Linked DNA regions of Caenorhabditis elegans. The protein of the gene in region 1 interacts with the protein of each later gene in a pairwise test. Each region holds a gene or a part of one and is shown on either strand. Other genes may lie near its edges.

The links.
Region 2: the proteins of mxl-2 (region 1) and mml-1 interact in binary tests that used the Caenorhabditis elegans proteins (3 or more experiments, as listed by UniProt).

The regions. Positions count from the first base shown.
Region 1 is NC_003281.10:186,166-189,717, reverse strand, and holds mxl-2 (Max-like protein homolog 2), read left to right. Parts: upstream 1-1,586; 5' UTR 1,587-1,593; coding exon 1,594-1,785; intron 1,786-1,838; coding exon 1,839-1,924; intron 1,925-2,302; coding exon 2,303-2,468; intron 2,469-2,522; coding exon 2,523-2,696; 3' UTR 2,697-2,769; downstream 2,770-3,552. Other genes in the region: ubc-20 (UBC core domain-containing protein), read right to left, coding at 277-403, 460-542, 610-705, 758-877. UniProt on the Caenorhabditis elegans protein: Transcription factor. Binds to the E box motif 5'-CACGTG-3', probably in a heterodimeric complex with mml-1.
Region 2 is NC_003281.10:7,369,366-7,376,323, reverse strand, and holds mml-1 (Protein WBSCR14 homolog), read left to right. Parts: upstream 1-1,592; 5' UTR 1,593-1,598; coding exon 1,599-1,870; intron 1,871-1,915; coding exon 1,916-2,019; exon of another isoform or gene 2,020-2,071; coding exon 2,072-2,331; intron 2,332-2,827; coding exon 2,828-3,029; intron 3,030-3,229; coding exon 3,230-3,813; intron 3,814-3,870; coding exon 3,871-4,729; intron 4,730-4,803; coding exon 4,804-5,009; intron 5,010-5,065; coding exon 5,066-5,223; intron 5,224-5,269; coding exon 5,270-5,402; coding exon of another isoform or gene 5,403-5,438; exon of another isoform or gene 5,439-5,593; coding exon 5,594-5,758; exon of another isoform or gene 5,759-5,805; coding exon 5,806-5,892; 3' UTR 5,893-6,193; downstream 6,194-6,958. Other genes in the region: putative F-box protein T20B12.4, read right to left, coding at 6,786-6,958. UniProt on the Caenorhabditis elegans protein: Transcription factor that binds to the E box motif 5'-CACGTG-3', probably in a heterodimeric complex with mxl-2.

The DNA.
Region 1 (3,552 bases):
AGTCAGAATTGTCTCCAAAATTCGGGAATTAACGAATTTTGCACGTTTCCCATCGAATTTTCTCAATTTTGACGCTTCAAAACTCGAGTTGGCCTGAAAAATGGGAAATTATAGATAATTTTTGGGGCAAAATACGCAAAAAAACACACAAAATAAGGGAAGATTTGGGTCTGCTAATTACTTAATTACTTAGCAGACCCATATTGATTTTTTAATCGGATTTCGCAATATTTTCCCCATTTTTCCGCGAATTTTCTGAATTTTCCACGCTGCTACCTTGAAAACTGCTGGCTTCTCCATGTATTGCTTGGCGACGACGGCATCTTGAGGATCCTTGGGCTCCGGTGTGCACATCAACGCCTGAATCGACAGGAGAACCGTGCGAAGAGTCAGCGAAGCGGCCCTGAAGTTGAAAATAAATTAAATTTTCCGATTTTAAAATAATAATCGCAATATTACCATTGATCCTTAAGAATATCGAGGCAAATGACGCCGGTCTGCGAGCTGACATTCGGGTGCCAGATTTTTGTGCTGAACTTGACCTGAAAAACCGCGATTTTTACACAAATTTCGACAATTTTCAAGCTTTCCAGGCAGAAAAACTCGTACATTTGGTGGCGAGAATGGATATTGGTCTGGAATCTTAATATCCAAATCGAACATTCCACCGGCGTATGGAGTGTCTGGTGGACCGCGGATGTGTCCCTGAAAACCGATAAAAATTGAGATTTCCGACACACAATTCGCGGCGTTTTACCTTGATTTCGGTGAGATTCTCGTTCAATATCTCGATCATAATTCCGGTTTCGCTGATTTCCGAGTTTGTGACGACCTCTTTGCATTCTCGTTGGAGTCTGTTGAATGCTATGTTCGACATGGTCTGAAAACGATGGAAAATAGTGGAAAAACTCTGAAAAATCGACGAAAATCATGAAGTTCAAGGAATTATCGAAAAAGCTTCGAGAAAGTCTGAAATTATCATCAAAATTATTCAAACACCAACTCATGATAAACAGGGCGCGCCGCGGAATTTCGGAGCATCGTTTGCAACTGAAATTTTTGTTTTTCCCCGAATTTCATCGATTTTTCATCGTTTTTCGTGAATAAAAATCAAAAATCATGTAGAAAAATGTTGAAAAACCAATTTTTATGCGAAAAATTGCTTAAATCACAGTAAAATTGAACAAAAACCCGGAAAAACCGGAGAAAACCGTGCGTTAAGTCGGAGCATCGTTGTCGCCGAGAAAAAACGGGTTCAAACGATCAAACCCGTGATCGGAAGTATCGATTCACAGATTGATTAAGTTTTTATAGGAATTTTAGTTTTTGCATCATGATTTTTCTCAAAAAAGAAAATTGAACGTTTTTGCCGAAATACTTCTAATTTTCTCAAGGTTTAGAGGGAATTTCCATTTGTTTATTGAGAAACCCGTTCAGAAAATATCTAGAATTGATTGAAATCTTCAAAAAAAATCTTGCCAGGGAACAATTAGGTCTGCTAATTAATCAGCAGACCCAAATTTCAAAAATCCGCGTTTTTCTTCGTTTTTTTCCCAATTACTCTACTGAAATTCTCTGTTTTTCAGCCCAAAAATGTCTCGAAGCCGTTCCGCAGCTGCCAGCTCCTCTCAAAAGCCGGACGATATGGACCTAATGTCGCCGGACGGCTCGGCGAGCTCCCCATCGGCCCCAAACACGCCAGCGACGAATTCCGGCGGATTTAGCTCGGATAGAAAGAAGGCGACGCACTTGAGGTGTGAACGGCAGCGAAGAGAAGCTATAAATGTTTGTTGAAGCTTGGAAATTCGTGGAAAAAAGCTAAAATTTCAACTTTTCAGAGCGGATACAGTGATTTAAAGGATTTAATTCCTCAGACAACGACTTCGCTGGGATGTAAAACTACAAACGCCGCGATTTTATTCAGGTACTGGCTGAAAATACTGAAAAATTGAAGGAAAAATAACTGGAAAACATAAAAATTTGGGTCTGCTAAATATTTAGCAGACCATAGTTGGGTCTGCTAAATAATTAGCAGACCATACTTGGGTCTGCTAAATAATTAGCAGACCATAGTTGGGTCTGCTAAATAATTAGCAGACCAACGTGGATTTAGCATACCCAAATTGCGAAATTATCGAATTTTGATGACAATTTCAAGTTTTTTACATTAAAAAGCACGATTTTTTTCAAGAATTTCGTGTTTTTCAGCGGGAAAAATCACAATTCCAGTCTGCTAAGCCCATTTTTTGCTTAAAAACCTTCAAAATTCTGCAAATTTCCCCGAAAATTCAATAATTTCCAGAGCCTGCGACTTCATGTCCCAACTGAAAACCGACATCTCCGACGCCGACAAGCAACTGGCCCAGCTCAACGCACAAGCGGCCGCACTGGAAATGATTGCCTCAGAGTACGAGCAGATGGCTTCTTCGGTTCCTGACGCCGGCCAGTCCACGATTCAAGTCAAAATGGTTAGAATTTACTGAAATTTCCAGATTTTTAAGTCGAAATTCTCCAACTTTCAGCTCCAACTTCTCCTCGACGACTGCTTCACCTCGTTCTCCTCCCAAGTGGACTTCACCACGTACGCAACGATCACCAGAACGCTCCTGTCGTGGGTGGAGAGCCTGGCGCCAAATGCGGAGCCATTCAAGTCGACAGCCGGAAAAATGGTCACAATGCCCTTCACTTCGCCATAGTATTGAGAAGAATTTCCAGATTTTTAATCAACAAATGTATTATTCAACGCGTAAAAATGAAATTTAACAACAAAAAAGAAAATAGTTTGGAACATAAAATTAACTTTTGGTAGTTAATTGAAGAACTCGATCCAGAAGCTTCTGAGTAACTTCAGTGGACATTTCTGTGAACAAGTCAGAGGTTCTAACTTGTCTGGCCTTCTCTGTAGTCTCAATGGTTGAAATCGCGTGGTTCATGAGTTTCTCCAATTGAAATTTGTCAGCCAACCAAATCTTTGTTACATGATCGATTTCCGTGGATTTGAGAAGATGATTCTCTACGGAACTCGTAACGAACGGAACCATGAAACGATCAGCCAATTCCAGAAGTTTCTTGGCATTACTGTCCGTCGGGAAGTCATTTCCCGGGTGAATAATGGCTAAGAAAGCCTTCATATCGTCTGCCGAAACATCACTGATCTTGAATTCATTCTTCTGCTTCTCCTCACTTTCAAACTCAAACAACCCGCGGAAGAACTCGGAATGATACGAGAGGAACTGTAAAAAAATCACTTATTGAAGAAAATCAAATTATTTTATTCAGCTTACAGCTTTATTAACATGAAGCTTCGTATCTTCAACTAGAAGAATTGCATCAGAATTTTCGGATTTTGTCAAAAATTGAGATTTAATAAGAGTCAAATTGAGCTTGACGTAGTTATTGATGTGGCCGGGGATGTAATGTACAGATATGAGCTCATTCAATTCTTACGCCATAACGTCAATTTTTCTGCCCTGTAGCATAACGTATCCTTTTACTCCTTCCACGCCTTGTTCTTTCAGGTCACTCCAATTGAATCTCAACTGGAGAAGATTG
Region 2 (6,958 bases), 7.2 Mb from region 1:
CGTTTTTTGGATGCACTCGACCACACACACACACACTTACCCAATATACGCTCACACACACACACACACACGCACAACTCTAACATATTAGGGGCATAGGTTAACGTTTATTTATTTCTAAGTTTCAGAACCCTTTTCTAATTTTCTTTTTACTTCTGAATTATGATTTTCTGTTTGTTAATATGACTAGGTTCCGGAAATTCGGCAAGTGCCGAACGTAATATTTTTTTACCAAAAAAACATTTGCTACATTAGAAATTAGTTTTTTGTTCTTTTTTTGAGTTGTTTCTATAAAATATTCCAATTATTTCGGATATATTATCGAATTGTCAAAATTGTCTGATTGCCTGCCAGGTACGGTATATAATGCGCGTACGATATAATGTACTGGTTGTGCAGGTGCGAATCAAGATAGTTTTACGTAGTTGAGAGAATCATGGTTCTTATTAATACAACCTACTGTCTATTTTTGTTGAGAAAAATTGCAAACTGAAACTATAATTGTTTTGATGTAAAACAAAATAGTCATGAAATCTGTGAAAATATACGTCCTCCCGGGAGCGACCCCCGCTGCTTGTTATCATTATTATCAGATAATGGCCATTCTGTTTGTGTTATCAATCGTATTCTTCCATCCATTCTCCCTCCGTTTCGTCGTTTTCTTTTCACAAATATGTCTCGTTTTCTCCCCCTATTTCACACCAACACTGTATATCGTTGTGACTGTCGCTGGTCGACGATTCGATATATGATTTTTCCTATCTTTTTCGTCCCCCATCCTCTCCGATGTTGGTTCTCTGAAACCCTGTATCGATTGACTTTTGTCCCTGTCACACCCACAAACTGTTCAATACTATCTAGGTCGTACAAAGTTGAATTCAAATCGGATTATCGTACTCTAAGTAGTTTTGCCAAAACGCATAATTTTGTTTAACTGAACTGACCAGTGTCAAAACTTTTTGCGGGGACAAGTTTCAAAAATATTTTTCCATATTTAAAATAAATAAATAAATAAACTCGACTTAATGAAATGCACCCTATCTGTTTTAATTTTCGCACCTGTAAAAAAAACTTCTGAAATAGCTTTCTAATATCTTAAATAAAATTTTGCAATTCCATAAATAGTGAACCTATCTTTAACGCCTTTTGCAGCGGTTTTCCAAAACAATGCACAAAAAAAATAATTCAACAACAAGAGACCTAGACACTCTTTTAGTCGGTCACGTGTTGTAACAACTGATCCTCCATCGCTCTCCCCGTCCGTCCGTCCTTCGTCGTTTCTTCCTTGCTTATTGTCATCGCTCTCACACACAATTTTCCCACATTTCTCCACTTCCTTTTTTCCTAAAAAAGTTCCTCAGGGCCAAGCTATAAGTTTTTGCAAAGTTTACGAAAATGTGTAGATTTTAGTTGAGCTCACACCTTGAAGCACATAATTCTGAAAATTTGGCAATATGGGATTTTTGTTCGTGATTGGATGAATTGTAATTCCAAATAATCAATTGTACATTGTTACCTAGTAAATTTACTTTCATCCTCTATAATTCTTCATTTCACTGTTTCTACTTTTCAAAAGATTTCAATATTTTCAGACAAAAATGTCGCGCGGGCAGATTATACACAGTGGGCACTTTATGTGTTCGAATCCCCACGACGATCTAGTACAAGATGAAGATGAAGAAGATGTTGAAGTGGATGTAGTTGAAGATGATGATAAATCAATGGAAGCATCATCATCAGTTCATCATAAAAATAAGGCTCTCGACGAGAAACCGGTGACGTTTTACAAGTTTGGAGTTGGTAAAACACAGTCGATCGCGATTGATGTATCACTGAATAAGTTGAACAAATGTATCAAAGTTGCTTATAAGTAAGTTTATCTTCAATAAAAATTGATGGCATTGTTAGTTTGTAGCAAAATGACAACTCCAAAATGGAAGGATTTCAAAGGATTACGTCTTCATTGGAAGCAGAGGGTACGATTGAATAATGTTATTTGGAGAGCATATTATATTGAATGTAAGTTCCCTCTTTAATTTTATCAGCTATTGTTCAAAATCTTGTCTTACAGTTCGAAAAAAGCAGCCAGAAAAGCCGAAAAAACCATTCTGCTACTTTGCCGTACCCGACGATGACACAACACATCAAAAAATCGAGGGATCGATTGTCGAAGGAATGTATTGGAAAAGAAAAATGGAAGGTGTGTGTGCACAATATAAACGATGGAGAATTCGTTCGAAACATAATTTGGTCACGGATAAGGGAGGAATGGTGGCGACGTGCTCTTCGACAAGCGTCAGCAGTATGACGGGAGAATTGAAACGGAAAAGGGTATGATTTTTCTCGAAGCTTTTTTATACACCAAATGAAAGTGGAAGATTACCCAGACGCGAAACCTTTCGAGTTTTGCGTCAAAACTACGGTACATGGTCTCGACACGACAAATTCTTGTTTAATACATTAAGGTGTGTGCCTTCAAAGAGTACTGTAATTTCAAACTCTTGTTGCTGCATAATCGTCTGTTTCTAGTAGCGTCGGCAGATATTTGGTTTTATACAATCGAAAAAAAAACAATTTTTTCGTGTTCATTTTTTCAAAAAAAAAATCACTGCATTTTATAAAAAATTAGTTCCACTTTGAAGAAATTCCACACAATAATCTTCTATTTTCTGTAATTTCTTTTTTTTATATTTGAAAAATTAATTTAAACTTCGAAATATTTAAATGAAAAAAGGAAAAAGCGACAAGAAACATCCGAAAACAGACGAAATCGAAACAAAAAATTAGAAACAAAATTTTAATAAATATCGAAGACATTTTTTTAAAGAAACACACCGTTCCAAAAGAAACAATTGAAAGCAAGTTGCGAAGCTATGAGCCACCTGTAAAACTTCAAAGAAGTCAGACGCCAAAACACACGATTTCTGATGAATTTGCATGGGATTTTGATGACTTGGATAATGTTTTCACTGATGATTTTCTAAATTCTCTGAGTGAACCTTACATGTTTCCGGATCCAAGAGATGTTTGTGAGTTTTTTATTTTATTTTTAACTTTTGATTATGAAAGAAACTAAACATATTATGTTAGTTTTATTTGAATTTTGTAGCAGTTTAGAAACTATTTCATTTGATGGAACAAAATATGTGTTAAAATATTTTCAGTAAATCTATTAATCTTTATAAATACTTCATGCTTTATATGTCTAATCGTCAAAAACTTGTTTCAGATAGTGGAAATAACGCTGATATCATGCAGCCAGGACTCCTCCCACTACAGCCAACAATCGAGGATATCATGATGTCATTAGGCGACGATATGCCAGATTCTCCGCCATTCCACAATGATCGGGACACAATGAGAACTCCGACGAATGATCAGCCATCAATATCAGCACAACAAATTCCTCAAATGAGAAGATCTGCTTCATCTTCGGCGTCTTTGCATCAAATGCAAGTTGCTCAGGCTCAGGCTCAATCCATATCTCAAATATCTCAACCATCTCAACAACTGCAACATCAAATTCAAATTCAACAACCTGTTGCGGCTCGTCCACATGAGTTTATGGCTTCGTCGATTATGATGGACTATCGATTAATGCCGACACGACAATCATCTGCAATTACTTCACAAATGCTTATGCTCAGTCAATCCGCATCGACATTGTCTTCACAACCACAGTATGCCACATCAACACACTATAGCACGAATAACTCATTTCTCCCAATTCGAAATACAATGACAAACCAACATCATTTGGGCCATACGAGTCAGCATTCACCTTGGAATAAGCAACAACAAAGTAACTTCTTGGTTAGTTTGAAAAATGCATGAACATTTAGACAGTTTCTCGAAATTCAATAACTTCAGGTTTCCCTACCACATCAATCCCACGTCGAACGAATTCTGAATAATCAACCACCACTTGTTCCGCCTCCATCCAGATCTAATTTGCTGCCGACTCAAAATGATCCATATCTTCCTCAATTTCTTCAATCCACTCAACCTACTCCACAACCCCAATCTCATGATCCAATGATGGCTCCATCGAGATCATGGTGGCTGGATAGTCCGTTGACTGCAAGTGTTCAATCACCATTATCAGTAGCAACACCATTGCCTCTTGCCAATCAAACGGGACCGCAGACTCCATTGGGTCAGCTTATTGGGAGTGCGGACAACGGTTTTTTATTCGGTGGAAATAATACACCGGGTGGATTTAAAATGAGTGGGACTACCAGTGGTGTTCCAACTTTATCACAAAGATTAGAACAACCTCCAATTAGTCGAACTTCAACAATTTTTGGAAATGTCGAGAATAAACCTGAAAGAATATTCACTTCATTAACATCACAGAATACACCAACACCATCTCCTCTGGATATTTCTAGCCTTTCTCGCTTACGCACATCATCTCTCAATGAATCATGGAAAATGAGTCATATAGTAGAAGGATCGCCTACTTATCAAGCTTTTGCTGCGTCGGTTACCACGAAGCCGTCAATATTAGAAAGTCCTTCAACATCTGGAGATATTAGTGGTCCCGCGTCAGTTCCAGTACAAGCTTCACAGCATCCACCGAAGATCATCACACCACCGTCGGCGTCGTCAAAACGAAAAGAGCAAGAAGCAGCGATGGCGCCATTAGTGAACAGGCAGCAGTCTTGTGATGTCAATCTACTCAATGGAAAAATGGCTGTGAAGGTCGAGGAGAAATCCGGAAGGCATTGTAAGCATATTTTTTAATGTTTCTTCACCAAAGTTATGTTATCTCCAACTGAGTTTAAATTAAGTAAATTTCAGACTTACCAACCACACCCACCGAATTGAAGGAAGTAACAAAAGAAGAACCACTGTTGATGAGTGCACCATCAAGTGTCAAATCAATGCGACGACAAGCTCCAGATTCCACATTGCACCCAGAAGAACGCAAAAGAATATTGCATTTACACGCTGAGCAAAACCGAAGAAGTGCACTGAAAGATGGATTCGACCAGCTTATGGATATTGTAAGTTTTGGTTTTTCTCATGAAATCTCCAATTCAAAATTTTATTTTTTTTCCAGATACCCGATTTGTATTCTGGCGGTGTTAAGCCAACGAATGCTGTCGTTCTAGCCAAGTCAGCGGATCATATTCGAAGATTGCAGGCCGAAAAATGGGATAAAACACAGAAGATCGACGAGGCCAAAGCGAAAATCGAAAAACTGAATCAGAAAATAACGTAAGATAGTTTTTTGTTGAAATATTTTAAAACTGTATCAATTCAGATCCTTACAATCAAATCTTCCCCAATCGAGTGCACCATCCAGTTCATCACAGGTGGACTCGAAAACTTCACTGGAAACATTTTTCGATAGATATGTCAAAGAAGGCGCGAAAAAGAATTGGAGATTTTGGGTGGTAAGTTATCTAGCAGAAAAGTTGAAATTTTTTTAAAATCTATTGCTGAAAAATCGAAATATTTCTCCACCAAGGTGCACATCCTTTTGGCACTAAAAAAGAATTTATCACGTCGAGGCCCGTATTTTTGACAAAGCAACCGCAAAAATTTTGAATTACTATTGAGACAAATTAATACAACTTCATAATAGATGTCCCAAATGCTGAAACCAATCTGTGTCACACAAACAAACTCTTTCGCATCGTCTGTAGCAGGAGACTCGTCGTCAAGAAATGAAGTAGCCGCCTCGTGTTCTGATTGGCTGAACAAAAATTGGAAAGCCACAGAACTTCGGCCGCTTGCGAGTACACTTTTGGTAAATATAATATAGATACTCATTAATAATCAATTTATAAATTTCAGGTCTCTCTTGCAACCAACTCGAGCATTCTCGCCGAGCCGGACACTCTTCCCGATTATGTCATGCAACAACTCAAAAATCCATTTTGAACTGCTCATTATAGAATCATGTTTATTGTTTTTAACATACGATTTTTCTGCGTAGATTTGTTTAGATTTTTTGAAATATCTCAGTCCCTTTCATGTTGCCATAACTTTTTATCCAGGATTCTAATCATTTAGATTCAATCACGGGTTTTTTTCCCACTAGCAGCCACCACAGAAACAGCCCTCGTTTATATGTTCGGGTTACCTTTATATTACAGTTTGCTCAATTTCTCATGTATTAAATGTACATTGTCTCTACCTCTTCTGGTAATTTTAAAAAGAAAGAATTATACATTTTAAATTTATCACTCTCGACGGTCTTCATTTTCAAACACATCGAATAATACCGAAGAAAAAATTTTGTAGCAATAGAAAGGAAATTTACAAAAAAAAATCACGAAAAAAGTTGATTCGAAACAACCTTCTTCCTTTAAAAAGTAAAAATTAATTAGAACTTTACTAAATTTATTTTTAAAAAAATTAATGAACGTTTTTCAAAATACAAATAAGTGTCTGAAGATTACTGTAGTTTCTAGCTCTTTGCTGCATTGGTTTTCTTCATTTTTTATAGTTTTTTTTTCGTTTCTTCGCACCTTTTTTGGAAAATCTGAACTTAAGAATAATGAAAGGTGCAAAAATGTTGTGGCAACATAAAATCCAAGAAAATTTTGAAACAATGTGGATCTAGGAACTACAGTACACCATAAAGCGTAAAAAATTGGAGTCTACATTTCAATTTCAAAAGTTTTGACTCGAAATAAAAAAAAATGTCCAAAACGTTTCTAAAAGTTTGTATTATGATATTTAGTTATTTAAACATCATAGGAAAATAGACGTGTATTTTACTAATTTCTCCACAGACCGTACTCCAACATATAAAAAACAAATAAAGCATTTCAAGGAACTTGATATCTAGTGAACGTCTTCTTATTTCGAGTCATTCTATGCCCAGTTGCAATAATTGAAATTGTGTCAGGTGAAAAGTAAATAGTGATACTCTCATATGGATCAATTCTACTGTACACTTGTATTTTCTCTCCATCAAGAAATTCTTCATTGAAGGCAGAAC